Linked DNA regions of Drosophila melanogaster. The protein of the gene in region 3 interacts with the protein of the main gene of each other region in a pairwise test. Each region holds a gene or a part of one and is shown on either strand. Other genes may lie near its edges.

Evidence for each region. Proteins that work in one complex are often made in the same cells at the same time.
Region 1: the proteins of Epp (region 3) and CG5157 interact in a two-hybrid assay, tested with the Drosophila melanogaster proteins (one large-scale study listed by BioGRID).
Region 2: the proteins of Epp (region 3) and Daxx interact in a two-hybrid assay, tested with the Drosophila melanogaster proteins (one large-scale study listed by BioGRID).

The regions. Positions count from the first base shown.
Region 1 is NT_037436.4:16,135,493-16,139,879, forward strand, and holds CG5157 (uncharacterized protein), read right to left. Parts: upstream 2,388-4,387; 5' UTR 1,570-2,387; coding exon 1,210-1,569; 3' UTR 995-1,209; downstream 1-994. Other genes in the region: elg1 (enhanced level of genomic instability 1), read left to right, coding at 1-294, 704-974.
Region 2 is NT_033779.5:6,479,174-6,487,422, reverse strand, and holds the start of Daxx (Daxx-like protein), read right to left. Parts: upstream 6,495-8,249; 5' UTR 6,224-6,494; coding exon 6,173-6,223; intron 5,441-6,172; coding exon 1,312-5,440; intron 1,252-1,311; coding exon 1,071-1,251; intron 933-1,070; coding exon 314-932; 3' UTR 1-313. Other genes in the region: Sec61alpha (Sec61 alpha subunit), read left to right, coding at 7,093-7,099, 7,322-7,389. UniProt on the Drosophila melanogaster protein: Transcription regulator. Acts as a histone chaperone that facilitates deposition of histone H3.3. Has a role in chromatin remodeling together with asf1 and XNP. Has role in the transcriptional apoptotic response to oxidative and UV stress.
Region 3 is NT_033777.3:23,987,009-23,995,738, reverse strand, and holds Epp (ecdysteroid phosphate phosphatase), read left to right. Parts: upstream 1-2,822; 5' UTR 2,823-2,942; coding exon 2,943-3,055; intron 3,056-3,200; coding exon 3,201-3,441; intron 3,442-3,496; coding exon 3,497-3,692; intron 3,693-3,702; exon of another isoform or gene 3,703-3,863; coding exon 3,864-3,965; intron 3,966-4,427; exon of another isoform or gene 4,428-4,483; coding exon 4,484-4,653; intron 4,654-4,711; coding exon 4,712-5,024; intron 5,025-5,086; coding exon 5,087-5,968; intron 5,969-6,028; coding exon 6,029-6,267; coding exon of another isoform or gene 6,268-6,303; 3' UTR 6,304-6,933; downstream 6,934-8,730. Other genes in the region: CG33108 (uncharacterized protein), read right to left, coding at 1-3; Rab7, read right to left, coding at 989-1,075, 1,137-1,493, 1,558-1,737; CG5902 (uncharacterized protein), read right to left, coding at 7,580-8,311. UniProt on the Drosophila melanogaster protein: Steroid phosphatase that dephosphorylates ecdysteroids such as ecdysone 22-phosphate (E22P), 3-epi-ecdysone 22-phosphate (E22P) and 3-epi-ecdysone 2-phosphate (E2P).

The sequences.
Region 1 (4,387 bases), on a different chromosome or scaffold from region 3:
GGCAGCGGGCGGTGGAAGTAGAACCGCTGCCAAGCGGAAGTCCCGCTCACCAAAGAAGGCCTGGCTGAGCAGCGCCACTGGGCAGAAGTCCGATGGGCACAGCTCATCGCTCGCCACATTGGCATCCTTCTATGACAACATTTCGGTGGCTTCGTTGATGGACTCCGACTGCAGTGATCGCTTGCAGTGGCACCTGTCCGAAGAAATCGGTCACCTGCTGGTGGAGCAGGCTCTCCAAACTGGACTCGCGACCAAGGAGTGCCCCTACAATCTATTTGATAAGCCGGTTCAGAGGTAAGATTTTCAAAATGATGAGTTACTCTTTAACTAAGCCAATATATAAACACTTTAATATCAAAAGATCTTTATTAACAATATCTATCTGTATCTATATCTATTTTGCTTTAAACACATTTTAAGGCTTAATAATGCTAACTTAATTAGCTGTCATGGCAGTAATCGATGGAAAAAGGAAACCGGGGTTTTGTTATCATCCAGCAGTCATAATAACAACTAGTCACAAGATATCTTTAGCGTTCGGAATTCTAATAGCCTTGTCATAAAAATGACCGATCTTATAACTATCTTAGGAACACACCTATTCATTAAATTAGTGCCCAGACTTTTCACTAATTAGATACCAAACTTATTTTAGTTATGCTTTAATTTTTTCATTTTTTATAACTTTCTGTAATCTTTCCAGGTTTTCAATTTGCCAGCACCTGGGCAACGGAGTTCTCCGTTCCGACTCCGCCAAATCGCTGGACTTCGAGCCCGCCCTGCGCTCCATATGCCGCAGCGAAAAGGAACGGGCAGGACTGGAACGGAAGTCGAGTAGATTCTATCACTATCTGCGCAACCACACGGTAAACGTGACCAGTTTCACGACGGATTACTTTGACACTGCATGCAGTACGTTCCAATCGGCTGCCCCCAGCAGCGAGCCAACCATGGAGGCCGAACCGAAAGATTAGGCATCGTTTGGATTTAGTTTAATTTTTTTGAAATTGGTGGAGCAGCTCCGCCGGCTTTGTTTGCAATTTATTCAGATCGTTTAAGAAGAGTTGATCTTTTTTAAGATAGCTTTGTGGACATGAAGATGTAGCTATTATGAGATAAACCTAGAACTATTTACAATTTAACTATGATAAACTAACTACGACCTCATCCTATGTTAATAAATCAATCAAATGACATGTAAACCTATGACTAGCAGCAACAGAAACCGGAGGAGCTATTCTTCGCGGGTTCGGGATCTTCGGATATTGTGTTTGCCGTCGGCTTTGCTGCACCATTGGACGTTGGCTGCACTTGAATGGGTGCAGCTGAGTTGATTTCTCCGATTTTGTAGTTCTTTAGATCCTTTTCTGCGTCGGAGGAATGGCCTGCCTGCTTGAAGGCCTTGGTGGCATCCTTGCCGCCATATTCGAGTAGTGCTTCACTGCCGCCAGGATGCTCGCCGAGGAACTTGGTTACATCGTACACGTTCCCCTTGATGATCAGCCAGCAGGGTTTGCCATTCTTGCCGTTCTGCTGGGCCACCTCCGAGAGTTCGTACAACTGTGACATATTGCTGATTTGATTTCCTAATTGCTTTCCGCTGTTCGCGAATGTCTTTTAATGGCTGCTGTTAATTTGCGTTTAATAAGTCGCGCTCTTGATTCGATAATTTTAGGAGCTGTTAACCGTTGGACGGACTCGGAAACACTGGACGCGTGCCAAGGGGCGACCCTTGCTTATGTTTAACATTTATCAATAGTTCAAACAATCGCCTAGATCGCTTGTACTTGCCTTGTACCTGTTCTCCCCCATTTCCCCCTCGACGGGCAATTACTATTTGCTGTTTTATTTCAGTTATTTCCACAATCTGTCTGCATTGTGGTTGATAAGAAATACGTGAGAATTTCACCGTCTTTCAAGGCGACCTGCTACTAGTGTGGGCAGTGACCAATCTCCTTTTTTTGGGTGGGATTTGTGCAAATCATTAATGCAAATGGATGGCGCGAGTTGTCATTGAGTGGGTTTCTATCGTTGGTGAAATCTAAGCACAGTTTATGATTCACTTGAACACTTCCCGTTGAGTAATTTATGGTGGGAATTTTCTTTGAGTTAGTTATGTCCATTAACTTCGACACCATTTATTGATAACTGGAACATTGCAGGGTTCATATCGTACAATCAGTCAAACCCAAAATGCAATAATGTGTGTCAAGTGCCAATCAAAGCTAAAAGTTTCCAGTTGACAACAAATTTGGTTGCTTAAAGAAAAAACGGTTTTTATGTTTTCATAGTTATGTTCTATATATTTTGGAAATATATTTTAAATTTGCTTTCATTTTTCCCATTTTTGTTTTTTTGCTTTTAATGCTTTTGCGTTTTATATGAGACAACAACAATAATTGGTATTCAATTAATATATATATGTATTTAGATATATATCGATTTTTATTCCGATTTTTGTATATTAGACGTTTTGCATAATGCGCTTTAAAAAATTTCGCTAGTATTGGGTGCACTTTGCCTGCAGGGATCAAAAATCAAATTCGATTTTCTGGGAAGTGGGAGATGGTAGATGGGATGATTTTGATCTCGGATGGTTTCGAAAAGTTGTTGAGAAACTGTTTGGGATTGGGTGTGGTTACATTAACATAATGCTCCGCAGCGCATTGTCCTGCATTCGGTGTATTTACAAATGAATCTCTATACTTTTCTTGTTATTTACTTTATTTATTTAGCTTTTGTTATATATATATTTATATATATCAGTCGACGGTTTTGCATTTTCGAAACGCAGCTCGTGTGCGCTTTCATTTGTATTCTCGATCTAAACGTACAGATACAATATAGTAATAAATATCGTATATATAAAGTGTAAAATTAATTACTTGTCAATGATTGTTGATTTATTGAATTAATCGATCTGCTTGAATTTAAAAAAATCGTAATTCAATCAATTGATTTACTATAATTTAATCGATTTGTTTCATTTCATTTGATTTACTTAGTTTCCGTTTAGTTTCGCTAAACATAATTCGTAGACTTGATCTTCGTTTAGAATTTAATTTTTAATTTAAAAAACAGTTTTGGAGGTAGTTGAAATTAGGCCTGTTTGTATAAATGTGTATATGATTCTCCGATCAAACGAGTTTAATCGCTTCGATATTTAGCTGGACTTAATTTGTTTAGAACTAATTAAGTGATTAAATTCTACGCGTTTAATTTAGTTATTCATTGTCTCCGGTTTTCTCTTCGTTCTGTGATATTTCGGGCTATTTCCGGTTGCATTACTTTAAGTATTCTTTGATCCATAGACATCGAACTATATCGTTATGTATTTAAAATGTAGGCTTGTAGGACTTGTTGGCGTAGTAAAGTGTTTTCGTTTTCCATTATTTTGCATTTGTTATCATATTTTCCTAGTTTCTCGCATTCCATTTCTCATCTAAATTGTTGGTTAAATGTGTTTTAAACTTGATTTAATGGATCGTGAGTTCTTGAAACCATTTTTTGTTTTTCCTTCTCTTTGATAATTTCAATATAAAATGTTTGGGGCAACAAGGTGCACGGGTTGTTTGAAAAATTACGCATTTTTGGAATTTCAGAAATTCGTGAAATTATAGACTAATAAATAAGGCTGGATATCTAAACAATAAAAGCTCTGAGTTGCTTAATTGTGCTTATAATATACATTGCAATGGGACTTTTTCTTAACTCTTTGATTTTCCTAAACTCAGAACGTAAAAATATAATGCCAATCTAATTTTAAATAAACCGCCAAAACTCGACCAGAGTTACACTTGAAAATGCACGATCGCCCGTTGTTGCCAGACTGCAATTGGTTATCGATAACTTCAGTTTCATCGATCGTTACGTTTTAAATTTAAAATTCAAAATGTATCCCGCTAAAATCCGAAATCAAGATTAGCTGCAGCCAATTTAAAATGAAAACAATAATTTCTCTACAATTTGGTTTACATAGATTTCATTTCATTTTTTGTTTTTTTTTTTCTTTACATCGTAATTCCGTTAGCAAATATACAAATACAAATTTCAATTGAACTAAAAATTGTTTGTTTGTGTGTGTTTTCGTGTGTTCCAGCACATGGGCCTTGCGTACAATAATAATAGGGGATAAGGGGATTTGGATAGGGGGGTGGGGGTGGGGGATAGAGTATAGTTAAGAGTTGGTTGGCTTCGATTTAAAACTAGAGTTATTGAAACTAAAGTGTATACAATATTCATTCATAAAATTACAATTACATATTCACTTATGTGTTGTTATTTACTTTCCTCATTCCCTTTCTTCAGTTTTTATGGTATTGTGTCTGTCTCTTTCAAGTTTGTTGCTTTCTTGGTTTTTACAAAAACGTTCTCGACTTATTACTTT
Region 2 (8,249 bases), on a different chromosome or scaffold from region 3:
CCACAAAAATGTAAGGGCGGCAGTTATTTTTGAATGTAAGACATTTTTATATGAAAAAGTTCTTCACGTGTCTATGTCTATAAAAAAAGCAAAAAACAAATATGAAAATTGTCAACTCAATCAATGCTTGAATTATATAAACTTTTCTGCATAAACTTAAAATTTAAATTTAAGGATTGACATTCAAAAATAAATAGTCGACCTTACAACATTTGTGTTAGCAAGGGGAGTTGAAAAATGTACCGAACGTATTCAGGAAGAAACTGAACATATTGAATAAATAACTTAATTAGGGCTTCGGATATAACTCTTTCTATGACTCCTCATCGGAAATGATAATCTGGTCAGCAATGACTGGCTTAGCAGACGGCATGGGATTGGGCTTTCTATGCAGATCCTGCCCATGGACAAAATTGGCGTTCAGACTAGAGACGGACATAATCTTAAGCCTGCCGTTGGGCGTGCCTTCGTCATTCTTTTTGCCAGTCTCGTCTCTCGTTATATCTATCACATCCTCCTCCTCGGCGAGCGGCAAAGCATCTCTCTTTGGTGATGTTACTGCTTCCACTTCGGAGTCGGCATCACTCACATCACTGTTGGCTTGAAAGTTATTGACAAATTCCTCAACATCGTCGTCCTCCGAGTCCGATTCCTCCTCCGAGTCATCTCCGTCATCGGCGATTTTGAAAATCCGTCCATTAGCGGCACGCTTTTTTCGAATCACATTTCCACGAGCTGCTGGACCCCTTTTTAAAGCGGCGAGAGCGGCCGCCTTAGCTGCTGCCTGAGCACTTGTACAGGGCTTGTCGTCGTCTTCCGCCAAAGCAGCCAGCTTGGCGGCCTCCTCGTCCGCTTTAACCTGCTTCAACTTTTTCTCCTTAAGCCGCGCCTCCTGACGCTCCTCCGCATTGAGATCTTGCTCGAGGGCATACCTAGAATAAATAATCCAAATATTAGATTGGAACTCTGTTTTAAGTTCAGAGCACTGCGCTGTTCTAGATATTTCCGATAAATAACAAGTGAAAACTCTTTTGAACAGCGCAGTTCTGAAATTCTCGATTTGAGCTCACTTTTCTAAGATATCACTTATTTTGGTTTGCTTTTTGTTGTTTTCCTTGAGCTTGGCTAGCAGCTCGGGATCACTGGACGCTGGATCTTTGCCATTTGCCGTGTAATGTGTGACAGTTTCGTAAAGATCATTCTTTCGGCGCGATTGCAGCATTCGACCGACTTTGTTAAAGGCATCGTAGGCTGCAAAACAATAAAATGTGTGCTCAATATTGATTTTGATACTTGAAGACCATGACGTACCGATTCTCTTCATCTCGTACTTGGCTAGTCCAAGTTCCTTTTCCTTGTTGCACTTTTCCAGTATTTGAAGCACATCGTGGTAATCGGGAAAATCTTGCATCCTGTTCACAAAAGCCGAGAGCGAGTTATTGAAGTGTGGATAGTCCGAATCCTTGAAGTGTATGGGCTTCTTTAGCTGTCTACGGACACTCTTGCTCTCGCCCTTTAGATCACAGATTTTTTCATAGATTTGGCAGGCACGCTTTTTGAAGCGCTCCAACTGAAGATAACTGGAGTCCTCGTCGTTCAAGTCCACTTCAGCTTCCTCCAACATCTTTATTCGCTTAGTAATAGCATGCAGCGTGCGATAAAAGTGGCGTATCCGCTCATCCCTACGCCTTTCTTCGCAAGAAACGGTCCCGACATTCACCAATGTCACCTCTTCTACTTCATCATCCTGCTCTCTTCCCGCCATCACAGTCTGCTGCCCCGGCGCTTTTACTATCGCTGGCTGCTTGGGTGTGGTCAATGTGGGTGGAAGTGGGAACTGGCTAGCTGGTGGAAGTGGGAACTGGCTAGCTGGCGGAATTGCTCGTACTGTGGGAAACATTTTGGTCAGCCTCCGCGATGCTAACTCATCTAACACGTACTTTAGGTGCACGTACACCAGGTACGATTCGCTTCGGATCCTCGCCATAGCCATTGTAACCAGGTTGCGAAAGCCACATGACATCACGAAGCTTTCGGGCGCACTGTAGTAATACTGGGTCAATTCTCCCTTTACAAGGCGTTCCATGTGAGTCGATTTGTCCACCTCGCGGCAAAGACGAAGAAGTGCCGCGTACTCAGTTGTAAAAGGGGCATTCACTGATGGTGCTGCCTTGGCTGCATTCTTAATTGGAGGAAAACATTCTTTCCCGCGCTTTTCTGGCGGGATATCCGGTATTTCATCTAAATCCACTATTTCTGTGACAACTAAACCGGATTTTTTCGTGGAAATCATCACTGCAGGCCTTTTTATTGCCCTGGATTGTTTATCTGTTGCCATCGGTTTGATCGACGATTTTTCCACGGTCATTGGCCCGCGCTCCGGCTCCGGCTTATCCGTGGGCGGAGTAGTGGGCGGTGATTCGACTAGAACAATTGTGGTCATCGAGGACGACTGCAATTGTACGTGCTTCTTTTGCTGCTGTTGCTCGAGATGCCTTTGCCATTCCTCGTCGGATTTCTTGAGCACGGTAATCGGCTGGATGCGCTTGGCGCTTGCAGTTGGAGACCTGTTCACTGGAGAAATGCTCGCTTCGGGCAAGGAATTCAATTTAATGGCTGCCGCCTTGGCCAGCTGCTGTTGCTGAACTGCTGCCGATGGTCCAGCGGGCGGTGGAGTTGTCGTAGGCGTCAGTTGCGGCGTAATGCTAGTGGTGGGCGGCAAGTTTAGCAATAGCGGCTCATTCAAGGCCGCGGCACAATGCGGTGGAGTGGCCAGAAGACGCTGTGGAGGTGTGGCACTCGCAGTGAATCCCTGGACATGCGTCGAAGTCATTGGTGCTTCAGATGTCTTGCGCTGTGAGCTTCTAAAGGGCAAAGTACGGGCTGCAGTCATTGTTGGGTCTGTGGGACTGACATAACTAGCCATCTGCGGCTTCATCGGGATGCAGACTTTGTTGTTTGTAGGCACCGGCGAGATCTTGGCTACCGTCATGGGTCGCACTATCGGTGGACGGTGCGCGAACGGAGGATTTTGCATGGCCGCGTTTGGCATTGTTTGCTTTTGTACTATATGAGCGGGTGGTGGCGTCTGCTGCGGAGCTATCTGTTTTGGCAGAATTTTTTGCACCGTCTGCAACATGGGAAGTCTCTGAATAGTCATCGATTTGTGCGTAATTTGATTGACAACGGGAAGCGATGGTTGCTGTGATGGAAACTGTGGGCCCATTACGGAGTTTACCAGTGGTGTCTTTGGTGATTGCTGTTGGGCCACCAGCAAAGGATTTTTCGGGAGCTGTTGTGGGCGCGGCAGGACCACCGATGTTTTCGGAAGCTGCGGTTGCATCACGATTTTCTTCTGTGGCATCTGTTGCTGTTGAAGAAGTCCAGCACTTGTTCTCTGCTGGGGCTGGGATTGAAATTGTTGCTGTTGTCCTAGGCCCGCTCCTTGCTTTTGAGCTGCTGCCTGTTGCGCTAAGGACGCTTTTGGTGGTTTTTGCTGCTGTTGGAGCTGCCCCGCGGAAGTATTTAGCTGCTGTTGTGCTTGCTGTTGGAGTTGCCCCGCTAAAGTCTTCTGTTGTTGTTGTGAATGCTCTTGGAGTTGCCCCGCTGAAATCTTCTGTTGCTGTTGTGGTTGCTGTTGGAATTGCCCCGCTGAAGTCTTCTGTTGCTGTTGAGTTTGCCGTTGCAGCTGCCCCACTAAAGGCGTCTGTTGCTGCTGTGATTGCTGTTGCAGCTGCCCCACTGAAGGCTTCTGTTGCTGCTGTGATTGCTGTTGAAGTTGCCCCACTGAAATCTTCTGTTGCTGTTGTGGTTGCTGTTGCAGCTGCGCCACTGAAGTCTTCTGTTGCTGTTGTGGTTGCTGCTGGAATTGCCCCACTGAAATCTTCTTTTGCTGTTGTGGTTGCTGTTTTACGTGCACCATTGAATTTTTCTGCTGTGATTGATGTGGCTGCTGTTGTTGGAGTTGCCCCACTGATGTTCTTTGTTGATGTTGCTGTTGTAGTTGCACCAGTGAATTGTTCAGTTGCTGCGGTAGTTTCTGCTGAGGTTGCGGTTGCCCCAACGGCACCTTTTGCTGTTGTGATTGCCCCAGGATCTTTTTCTGTTGCTGCTGTTGTTGTTGTTTCTGCTGCTGTAGTTGCCCCAGGATCTTCTGCTGTTCCTGTTGCAGTTGCCCTAGGAACGTCTTCTGTTGCTGCTGTTGCAGGTGCCCCAGAAAAATCTTCTGTTGCTCCTGTTGTAGTTTATTCAGGTACACCTTCTGTGGCTGTTGTCCCACGACAACCTTTGGTATTTGCTGAATCTGTACTCCAATCCCCGTATTCTGTTTAACAGACTGTTGTATCGATCCCACCGGTGGTTTTTGCTGCGTTAGCAATTGACCTCCAAGTGGTTTCTGGCGCGTAGGTAATGTGCCACCCAGTGGCTCCTGTGATTGCTGTATCTGTACTCCAATCGCCGTATTCTTGTTAACTGGCTGTTGTAGTGATCTCACCGGTGGTTTTGGCCGCGTAGGCAATGGGCCACCCAGTGGCTCGTCTGGCTCCGTAGGCAATGGGCCACTCAGTGGCTCGGCTGGCTTCGTAGGCAACGGCCCACGTGGTAGCTTCTCTTGCTGCGCAGGCACTGGGCATTCCAGTGGCTTCTGTTGCTTTCCAGGCAATGAGCCATTCCGTTGGTTCTGTTGCTGCTGCAATTGAATGCTCACGGGTCTAAGTGGCTGTTGCTGCTGCAACGATACCTGCTGCAATTGGCTAATAGAAGCTATATGCTGCTGCTGTCCTGCAATTAATTTCTGGTGTATTTGAAGCGTTAGAGGTTTTTGGTGTTGCGCCATTTGAGCCACTGCAGTATTGGGCTTCGGAAAACCCACTATGATGGCCTTCGGTTGCTGGGCTTGTGCCTGTTGCTGAGGCTGACCCATCCCAAGAATGGGTTGAATCTTTGCAGGCATCGCATTCGAAGCCGGTATTATTTTTGACCCGGGTGCGAGTCGAATCGGATTAAACGGCGTCACCCTCACCTGGTGGCTGGGCACGGTGGTTATCACGGCATTCGGACTGGGCGCCTTGCTGCTCACCGACCAGGCCACTTTCTGGCCGGTGCCAACATTGATCTGCTTCGGGGTCACATTTTTGTTCAAGCTGGTAGTGTTGTTGTTGTTGTTGCTCTCTGCCAGAGAAAGGTTCATGTTTCCGTTTGTGGCGAGGACGTTCTTCTGGTGCTTAGTGATGGTGATTCCACTGGGGATGTGCATGGACCGGAGTGGATCCACTATGACCGGAGTCTCCCTTGCAGGTCCTGTTTCCGCAACAGGCACTACCATCGCGGATCCCAGGGAGGCCTTTGGTATGTTCAGAAGTTTGGCAGGAAAACTTTGCCTACCGGATGGCGTTAGTAGTCGCAGCGGATCCTCGAGTCGTCGTCGTTTGGCCGGCGACTGCAAATATAATTTGAAACTTATATTACAAGTTATGTTCAATTGGTAATAAGATGAGACTACACTGCCTCTGACAATAAGACCAAAGTTTACTTATAAGTATACATAATGTTTGTTGTTTTTATCACAAGTGCATCGTCTTTGAAGCGCGTTTTATAATTAGCAACATTTATAATAGTTCCAAACTGCAGGCGACCTGTTGGTCGCTCTCAGATGTATTTTAAATTTGAATGAAAATATAAACAAACGAAAAGCGTCAGTGTATAGGTGTGCGTTCGTCGGTGTGTGCGAGAGCTTTGGAGAGTTGCGTGCGCGCGCTTTGGAGAGTTAATTTGATTTAGTGCCGTATCAGCGGAGACGACTTTCCAAACTTTACCAGGCGAATTGCGTCTTAACCAAACACTCTCCAGGAGCGGAGACTCACCGCACCCTCTCACTCGCTCATTTCCACGCCTAACGTAATTAAAGTCCGATATTCGCCAGTGCAACTGCAAGACTCGCCAGGTCTCCAATCGCTCGGTCTGGCAGCACTGTCACCGTTTTGCAACTGTATGAGTGGGGCACTGCACGTTCGTGTCTGCTCGTTCTCAATAAAAAAGCAGCGCGAAAAAAATTTAATTCCACACTATGTGTAACACGCACACATACTCATGCAGCGAGCCTATTTAAAACCAACTGTACTTTTTCACACACACACGCACTGACGAGTCCGCTGGGAAATCGGGATATTACCTCCTCATCAGACTCCGAGCTCAAATCGACGCATATCACAGACGCAGACATTATTCGCCCCGAAACGGCAATGGTCTGCACCGAATTTATTCACTTTACTCGCCGCGCGATTTACTGGCTTTTCTTCGCATTTGGACTTGCCACCGTTGTTGTCAGCTACTTTTTCACACATATGTGAACGACGCGACCGGGTTCGTTGCGAGTTCTCGGCACTAGCACTGAATACTGTATATATGTGGGAATTTTCCCACATATTTATTACGCTCGCCAACAGAGTGCACTGCGTGAGTGTTTGTTTGTACTCATGCCTCAGAATTGTCAAATTGGAGAGTCTTGGAGCTGCTAAAACATCGCTGGCTGCCACGATAGTATCGGTCGCTAGGTGCCAGCCGGTGCCAGCGATGGACACACAACTAAATATCGAAACTCCTTTTTATTAACCCTATAATGCCTGAAACCAAATGTGTACATGTCAAAAGCTAAATATGTTGGCCCATCTTAGACAAAAAAGAAACCATAAATAACCCTCTGGATAGGTAACGTGAATTCCACCAAAAATATAATTGTTAGATCTTCTTGCTAGTTTATGTATTTAATTATCGGAACATAATCTTTAGGCAGCTTTGCAGTACAGCCCAAAAATATAGATTTTCCCATGGCTCAACTTCAAATTTTAATGCTTAACAGTGCCAGTGTGACCGGTCGTCGCCAAGTGACACGACGGTTTATTTTGACGTTTCACCAACGGCCACACTGAATGACACGTCGACGTCGTCAATTCGTTCGCTTCGTTCATTCGGTTTTTGAAATTTGAGGCGTTCGCTGTGCAGTGAAAAGTGAGACTTTCTACTGTTCGCGTAGAAAGTGCAATAACCAAGCCACCCACTCAGTGCCCAGACTAGCAACACAAGTCCGGCAAAATGGGAAGTAAGTAACCGTCATCGCCAGACATCTTCCCCAAAATCGGGGAGTGCAGCGGTTTTTGTGTGAAGTGCCGCCCTTGCAATGCCGCTCGCACCCTTGTCGCTCATTGCTTACGTATACAAAAAAGATTCGGCGTGCGCCGCTCGTTGTGTCCGAAAATCGCAATTAATTAAAAATGGCCTGAGAAACGTAACTAATTCGGTTGCCTTAATTCACTATTTGCAGTCAAGTTCCTGGAAGTTATCAAACCGTTCTGCAGTATACTGCCGGAAATCGCAAAACCGGAGCGCAAGGTGTGTATAAAACCGTAATTAGATGTAATCAAAGTGTAGCTAGTTATCCCAATTGCTGCTGTACCATGTAATGTTCGAATTTTCCCAACAATTTGCGGCTTTTCTCGTCTTATACGTGTGTTTTTCCGAGCGAATCTCGCTTTGCTCTCTGCCAGTGTTGCCAGCCCACGCGTTTTGTGGTTGCTTTCACTTGTCAAAAAAGTGAACATCGCCACGCAAACAGTTTGCTCTTCATTTGGTAGTGGGCAAACGGCAGCCGAACCACCCTGATATAGAACAAACTGAGTTTTTTATGTGTCGAAATAGGAAAACACGCCTTTTGTGTCCATTTAATTCATGAAAATAATTATGCCCAACTTTAGTTTTATTTATTACTATATCGTACACCACTTGAAGTGCACATATTTTTGAGTTTTTATATGTTTCGTGGGCCTTTTCATTCATAAATCTCAGTATTTCCACCTCACTGCTGCTGCTAGTTTTCTTATCACCTGGCTACTTGTTGCCATACTCTCATTTAACACTCACACACGCACACAGACACACACCACTCTCTCGCCACTGACAAACAAACGCTACGTGGAAATGGAAATGTCAAACTTCGGCTCGCACGAAGCGCTGTCGACGTCAGCTTCGTTTGTTTTTGTTGCTCGCAGGTGATGAGCGATGACGACGACTACGGCCAAATGAAGTTTACCAGATTTTGTTTAAACAATTGACACACGTACACACATGGGAAAGCGGCCATGTAGGTCAACATAGCGGTAGCATTATTTGTGCAGCTTAGTTTCAAGGGTAAAGCGGGCTTGATCTTAAGCCGTTTATTTAAAATAAAATAATAATAATGTAGTATTTTTATA
Region 3 (8,730 bases):
CATGGTATTTAGTTAAATAAATAGACTAAGCGAGTTAACAGACAATAGCCACAGCTGTTTTCGCAGACAAATATTAACAGGGCTGAGTTATCGATAAGCGATATTCTGTGTTCACCTGGTTGCATCTGTTCTACAGTGGGCACAAAGTAAATTAAGCCCACATAAAAATATCAAAATAAGCTTATTTGACTTTTATTGTAAATTGTTCAAGTTTATTCTTTAAATTAAACCAAAGAGCATGAGAATTCATAAAATGAATCTTTGGAAAAAAATAAATTCGAAATATACACAATTTACATATATGTATTACCAAAAACAAGGAGCAATTTTACATGGAATACTATTCATAGTTATAGGATATATCGAGTAACGTTATAACTAAACCAAATTCACGCTCGAATGTTATGCATAAAGAAGTTTTGTGGAGCTCAGCCAATTACAATAGAGTAGCCAATTCGATGGTGCAGGAAATTATGTCTGTAAATTACATTTAAAAAGTTATTCTTTTATTAAATTTACAATCACAAGATTTTTTGTTTGTTTAGAAGATACTCTGATGTTGTATTCTCAATGTTGCTGTTCTGTTGCAAAAGCCAGCAGCGGTTGCGTGCAAAATTTGACTAATACAATGGCAAAAATAGTACTAGGGAGATAGGCGGGCGGTCGGTCAGAAACATGAATTATTAAATACGAGTACACAGAGCATACTTATTCATTGAACGGTTACTTAGGTCGTAGGAAAGTGGGTATACTGGTTAAGCCTTTGCCAGAGGCTCGTTAAGACTCAGCTGATGTTGATCTGAATCTGAACTTTGCATCCTATCAGTTAATTAATTACTATGCTGTTTTGCTGAAATTGTTTTACTTAATCATATAACACCTTCCTCTATCGTCCTTTGTGTTGCTTGCTTCTCATGTTCATTATTATGTTGGAAATATTATTTAATAATATAGATTGTGTAATTATCCATTTTGCGTTGTTGTTACATTAGCACTGACAGTTGTCAGGATTGCCAGGACGATTGTTTTGCGAGCCCAAGGTAATCTGATCGGGGAAATCGTTGATAACTTCAGCCTGTGTGAAAGTACAAAGTTCGATTTAGTATGGAAAACAATATTTAAATAGGATTTCTTACCTCCGCCTCCAACTCTAACGCATTCTTGGCTATAACTTGAAACGCCATCTCCACGTTGATGCCCTCCTTGGCGGACGTTTCGTAGTAGGGTATATCGTTCTTAGATTGGCACCATTGCTGCGCTCGACGCGTGGACACCTGGCGGTTGTCCAAATCCACCTTATTGCCCAACACAACGAAGGGGAAGTGATCGGGATCCCGTGGACTGGCCTGTATGAGGAACTCGTCGCGCCAGGAGTCGAGATTCTTGAACGAGTTGGGCGCCGTCACATCGTAGACAAGCACGCAGCAGTCGGCTCCGCGGTAAAACGCCACTCCAAGCGACTGGAAGCGTTCCTGACCAGCAGTGTCCCAGATCTGTTATTGAAATTTTGCGAGTTATGTCACTGAAATAGGATTACTGGAAGTTCATAGTGCTTACCTGCATTGTGACCACTCGGTCGTTGACCACCACCTCTTTCGTGCAGAAATCAGCTCCGATCGTGGCTTTGTATTGGTTGGAGAAGCGTTTGTTTACATACTGATTCATCAGAGAGGTCTTGCCCACACTGCTGTCGCCCAGAATGATGACTTTCAGTAGGGATTTCTTACGTCCGGACATTTCGATGCAGTTTGTGGCGTTGGCTTACTCGGGGTTATTTCTTTTGGTATTTGGTGCTGAAAACCACAGAATATTATTGATTGTGTGTTAAAAATACCATTGCGGTTTCCTCTAATTCGATTAGGAAGTGTAGGGGTGTGATGGTTTCTTTCCTAAGATAAATGAAAGTGAACTGCGCAAACCTCTAGAGTCTAAACTACATGCCAATGAAAGCCGTAATCTCTGCCAGGACCTGACTGCCTAAGTGCTCGAAGTGCAAGCCATTCGCAGCTGTAAAATGTTTGTAATGACGAGCAGTTGTGCTACGCCGTGCTGGGTGATAAACAAATCGGGTGAGTCACTCTGAGCAATCCGCAGTGTGTGATCGCTGGACTGTGTGAACAGGCGGTCAGTAGGGGAGGGAGGTGCCCGCATCGAGGCGATAAAGCGTGATCACTATTGGCGCAGCGGAGAAAGTGCGCTGAGTACAGACAAAGACGAGGTCGAGCTAATAAAGCGGGTCTGGAATACCAGGAAAAGTGCCTGGGAAAACGCCCATTTCCTCAAAGTCCTCGATGGCAGGGGGAGTCACTATGGTGCAATCGAAAATAGTGCGAAAGTGGACTCTCCAAAGGGAGATAAACTCCCCGCCCCCCTTTTTTAGACCATGAACAACTTGTTTTTGTGCTCCACCATTACAACTACGCCACTAATTGCGTCGGTGTGCGTGGGTCTTTGTTGTGTACGTTTTTCGAGTGTGCGTGTGTATGTTTGATGTGGGGCTCCACTGGCATTTTCCATGCACTTTTCGCCTGCTGCGTAACACTCTTTTTAACGCTTTGCTTTTGCTATTCGCCTAATTCCTTTTGTAGTGGCACTCACTTTGAACACTGGTGAACACTCCAAGAGCTGTTTCTTTGTGGGGCGCTTCGGTTTTACTAAAAAATATTCAATTAATTACGCAGTGAATTTTGTTGTTGTCTCGCTAGGAGAATCGCTCTCATCTCTACTGGTCAGTACTGGTTATCGATAGTGCAGTCGTGTTACAGCTATCGGTAGAAGTTGACTATCTTTAGGCTGTCGTTAGCCAACACTTTTTTGTGGCCAATTAACGAATTGTATCCTATTTTTGTTGAAATTATCACTGAAAAATATTGAACAGCCAGGAAAAACCAAAAGCTGCTAAACGGTGGTCACCTGGGCTTACATAGGAGGCTATAATCGAAATGGCCACGCTTCCGCCGCGTAAGAGTCAGACCCCTACGAGGATCTGCATCTCTAAGCAGCATCTGACGCCGCTCCAAACATTGCTCCAAATGGGGTTTCCCAGGCATAGAGCGTGAGTTTTCTATGCATAGCGTATTGGCAGTCACCAGCTGCTCTAGGTTCCATCCAAGATATAGTGGCTATGCGTGCGAGTGACCCACTATGTTGATTTGTTTCATAGAATCAGAGTATTGATTTTTTTGCTTACCCCTACACAGGGAGAAAGCTTTGGCTTCAACTGGTAATCGTGGTGTCCAGATTGCCTCGGATTGGTTGCTGGCACATGTCAACGATGGCACCCTGGACGAGTGCGCCCCCAGGGAATATATTATATATGCTTGTCCCACGGGTCCGTTTCTGCAGCAGCTGGAGGAGTTCTGGGCCAAGTCGCGCCAAATGTGCGGTTGGAATGGAGCACACAACTACGTGCCTCACATAACCCTGGTTTCGTTTTTTAAAGTGAGCTTAAGTTGGATTATCCAGACTTTATTTATTCACCTAATCGAAATTACAGGCCCCCGATGAGTGCTCGCTGCAGCTGTCCAAGGCGCTCAAACAGGTGGTGGACATGACGGGCGCCTTGTTGGATCGCCCCCTTAAACTGGAGCCCTACATGAGTCAAAACTTCATGGGTTTTTTCGTGGCCGAGGAGGATGCCAACTATCTGAAACGACTGGCCCTGCAGTACGTGAAGGAGGTGTCCAACTCAAGTACGAATTATCCTTCTGTTGGTTGCACTCTCTTTGGGTTGTTTTGGTTTACCTTTCTCACGTTCTGTTCGATTCGGTTGATGGTTTTCCATTTTTCGGAGTGGCTTACACGGTTATGTTGTTCTCCTCTCTTCCTGCACACTTCTGGATAATCTGGGATATGCTGCACAGTCATTAGCGATACCTATGAGCAGTTGGACGCCATTGTGGCCTGCTTTCCCTGGTGCGGTGCTGTCTCCTCGGGCACCCGCTGCATTCCGCGCAGCAGTCGATGTAAGCCATTAGCTAGAGCCATTAGTTTGCATAAAATCGTTTTTGATTCACCCAAAAGTACACTTTCTTATCACTCTATGCATGCTTTAGTTGCACTGGTAGATAAGTTACTAATCTAATCGCCCTTTTGGCGAAATTCAACATGACGCTGCTAATTGTAGTTAATTAGTAGTAACTGTAGATAGCAAGGTGATCGATGTTTTTGGTAGCTACATAGTTAATTTGTTTATACCCCGTTTCATTTGTTTGAAAAATATTTCAGTTTATTATTAAAACCGATTAGTGTCACTATATATACAAAAAATCTTTGATTATTAGAAGACCAGAACTGTAGTTGATAAGCCCGTGACGTTTGGTTTTGCCCAAAGATAACTTTAAGTGACTATAATTCCTTATCGAAAAACATCGATTCACCGTGTTAGATACGAAAGCATATAACCAGCACCGCCTTCATTTCCATTCAGTAATCGTTTGTTCCGCCTAGCGAAAGGCTACTAATAGCTTCTAACTACCTGTAGCCATCTCACTCGAGCCACACGTTAAGAGCCTGCACCTGACGCTTGCCTACCAGTTCCCGCAGGCACAGTTTAATGCACTGAAAGCACTCGTGGAGACCTTAGACGCCAGCTGCGCTTCCAATTGGGAACTTCGTCTATATTCCCGCGATCCTCGGCTCGCCACCAAACAAGTTAGAGCTCCTTATAATCGATCGAGGATGAGTTATAATTTTATCTTGTACTTTTCAGGTTCAAAAGGTAGTTTATCCACACAACCCGCACGAGACGGATGAACTGGAGCTCCGAATCGGCGATTACATCTATTTGAATACCGAGGTAGTAGACAGTTCCAGTGACGGTTGGGCCGAAGGCATATCTTGGTTGACCGGAAGCACCGGTCATTTGCCCGTCAATTACACCGAACGCACCGCAGAATCGGACGCCTGGACCCTGCATCGTGTGGTCCAGCTCTCCAAGAGCGTAGCTTCATCATTAACTTCCGCCGAGGACTTGGACATTGTGGACGGACGCAGTATATCAACGGAGCCCGACGATCGTCAGAGTGAGTCGTATTTTGAATACAGTGATCCTGGATTAAGTTAGTTACATTGCCTCTCTCAACAGACACAGCACATCCTGATATAATTGAAGGCTCTTCGTTTGAGGAATCCGAACAGAGCGTGGAGAAGTATTTGAGACAGACTTTGAAGCCCTGCCTGGAACTACCCTCAGTGCAATTGCTAAACAGCCACAACTTGACCCATCAGCATAACCCTAACACGCCTACGATCGAGATAACGACCAATATGTCTTCTTCCTCCACCTCCATGTCCAAGCAACCGGTGGACGAGATCTTGGTGGAACCACCGGCAGCCCAGCCTCCGCGTCCAGATGACACACTTAGTGTACACTCGGACCACTCCTTGCATCCCGGATCCCTTGACGCCTCGCATGCCAAGAACAGAAAGATCTACATTATGCGGCATGGCGAGCGAGTCGACTTTACTTTTGGAACATGGATTCCATATTGCTTCGATGAGTTTGGAAATTACATGAGGAAGGATTTAAACATGCCGAAGACGCTGCCTCGTCGGAAGAACAGTCCGGAGGGCTGGCAGAATGATTCTCCGCTGACAAATGTGGGTGTCTATCAGGCCAATCTTATTGGTCAAGCTTTGCTGGAGGCTCAAGTGCAGATCGACCATGTTTACTGTTCGCCCTCGTATCGCTGCATCCAGACTTGCACCAGTGCGCTTGAGGGGCTGAAGCTTACGGGCAAGCAAAAAATCAAACTGGAGCCGGGCCTGTTTGAGTGGATGGCCTGGTATCCGAGCGGTGTACCCGACTGGCTGACTAAGAACGAGCTGACCGAGGCCAAGTTCGACGTTGATTTGGATTATGAGCCGGTGCAGCCAGCGTCTGAGCTAACTGCTCGCCTAAAGGAGTCCACCGAGCAGTTTTATGAACGTAACCATGACGTTATCCTCCAGCTATTGGAGCAGACAAGTAAATTTATACAAATGTGGTTTTAAAAAATACTCGAATGCCAATTTTCTTTAATTCCAGCTGGAAATATTTTGGTTGTTGCCCATGCCACCACACTGGACACTTGTTCCCGTCAACTGACCGGTGGAGTTCCACGCAGCACGAACGAATTGCGCCAAGTCATCCACAAGATCCCCTACTGCAGCCTGGCAACGGTGGAACAGGTGGACGGCGTCTGGAAGCTGGTTGAACCCGAATGTCTTCCGGTGACGCACTCAAAGAATCCGCGGTTCGAGTGGAACGCCTTGTCGGCCACCTAGTGCCAGTGCTTAGAGCAGTTTCTCTGCAAGCATTGAGACTGAGACTCAACTCGATTGGGACGGACCTGGAGGTGAATCACACGCTGAAGAAACTATACGTAAATTTTTTGTTCGCTTAGCTATTTAAAGTACGTATTGATTTACTGTTTAGAAATTGGCGCCGCATTAAGTTGATTGTACTGCCATACAAATTTTAAAGTAATTTATATGTACACTTATGATGCAAACCGATGGAATGCGATTTTGCTGCGGTGTATAAACAATCCATCTATTATAATTGCACTGCTTATTGAGAAGCCAGCGCGACGGACTCATACTTTATTGCAATCAATGCGATCTATTGACTATATATATTGAATATATACATTTATACCGTATGCCAGTAATTATACTAATTGAGCGCTAGCTCGCCGCTTTAGCCATAGACTAACTTGCCCTGTTACTAGCTTAGTTGTTAGATTGTTTGATTAGCCTTGCTGCGTAACGCAGTTTTTTGTAGCCATTTATCCAAGAGGCAGACTTTTCTTAGCAACTTGTTGAGACTACTCCGTACGTAAAGCCCAAACATATATCGATATTATCGACTAGATTTAGAAGTACAAAACCATGTAACAACGCACAACATAATGGAACAATAAACAGTATACATTGAACACGTGTAATGCCAAAACATTGAGGTGTAAACTCCATTTCGCTTCCACGATCCCCAAGAGGAAAGACGGACGATAATTTTGCATTGTCTTGTGCGACTCAGAAGGGGTCGACCTTTATTTAATGCGCATAGAATTAGAATTAGTAATGTAATTGGTTTAGTTGTTAAATCTATAATATAATTGCTGAACATTTTACGTGAATTATATATCTGCATTTTGTATTGTATTGATTCGGTAATATATATCCCCATATATACGCTTGTTTAGTTTTAGTTTGTGTGTGTTTGATTTAAAAAGAAACCAGCAAGGCTGCGGCTACAACATAGATCGGTGTATCCGAATGCAATGGGTTTCAACATAGCGCTTACAATCTTTTCTGTTTTCATTATGTTTCTCATTCGAAATTGCTTACGGATCTGCCGCTTAAGTATTTGAAGCATTAAATGGTATATTTAGTAAAAGACGCTCATCTCACGCGCGTTTTTGGAGAATTTTTGAGGGCTTAAAATTGATGCTGGAGATATAATAACTCATAACTTGAATTAAGCGAGCGGCCGCCAAGCTGGGCCAAACTCAAAAGCTAGCAGCAGCAGGAGGACGACGGCCATCAGGCCTGCCCTAAGCCAGGATCATCGCCTCGCCGCCGTCCTGTCCAATTGTTAGCACTGCACCTTGCCGAACTGGGCGCGACGCTCCTGGTACTCGCGGTACTCCTTGTAGTGCATCTGGATCTCCTGCGAACGGTAGCGCGTTAGCTTTATGGACTTCCTCGTCTCCGGAGTTATGGCAGCCCGATAGCCGCCCTTCCGTAGGAGTGAGTCAATGGTCTGCAGCTGGTCCCAGCCCTGTTCGGTGGCCACCTGCGGCAAATAGGTGGCTGTGCGCTTGCAGCCGCGTTCTGTGAGGAACTCGATGCGGATGCCATGGACGCCCAGTTGCCAGTCCAGGTGGCCCTGAGCCTCCTCGAAGTTCTGCAGAATCGAGACCGAGACAGTTAGCCGTGGCAACTCATCTCTAGAGATAGGTGCAAATCTAGAGTCCTTAAAGGCGCTGGTCAAGGCGTACTCCCGAAGACCATGGTGCAGTTCCATTGCACTAAAAGTACCAATGCAGCCACGCAGCCTCTTGTCACGCCCAATCTTCCAGGTGACAAAGAGTGGGTAGGCGTCGTTGCTAAACACCGGCACCGATGGACCATCGACGTTGTTCAGCTCACAGTCAAGCACCTCGAAGCAGAACAGGCACATGTCTGGCACAGCGACGGTCTTCATGCCATGGCCGTTGGAGAACCGTTGCGGCTGGTGCACCATCTGCTGGTGCTGGTATTCCGGATCTCCGTTGCTGGAGTGCGGCTGCTGCTGCTGGTAGTTGTTGTAGTGGGAGTTGGACATGCTGTTCTGTGTCAGAACTGGTTCACTAATTACGTTAGGTAGGTATATTGAGGTTACAACTAATGGCAGTGCACGTTGATGCTCTAAGTTCAATTAACACAACAGAACAGCCCCAGTAGGAGTTGCCACAGAAACGCTGCCGCCAGTCCTCTAATCGTCTTCTGAAAATCGGTGGTGGTGTTTAATGCTGGTCTCGAATTCCAAGGCCTTGGCTTACCTGCTACTGCGTAAACTAGGTCACCTGCTGCCCTCCAGTTTGCGCTGACCTCTAGCCTGTGATTCCTGGCTCCCTGCTAACTGATCCAGACCTCGTCCCCGTGTTCCTTGGCTGCCGTCCTGCTGCTAGTTAGCTCATAAGCACCTCATTGAATTGCGTCCGCTGATCCGCTGATGCGTCTGCAAAAGGTCGTGTGCGAGAT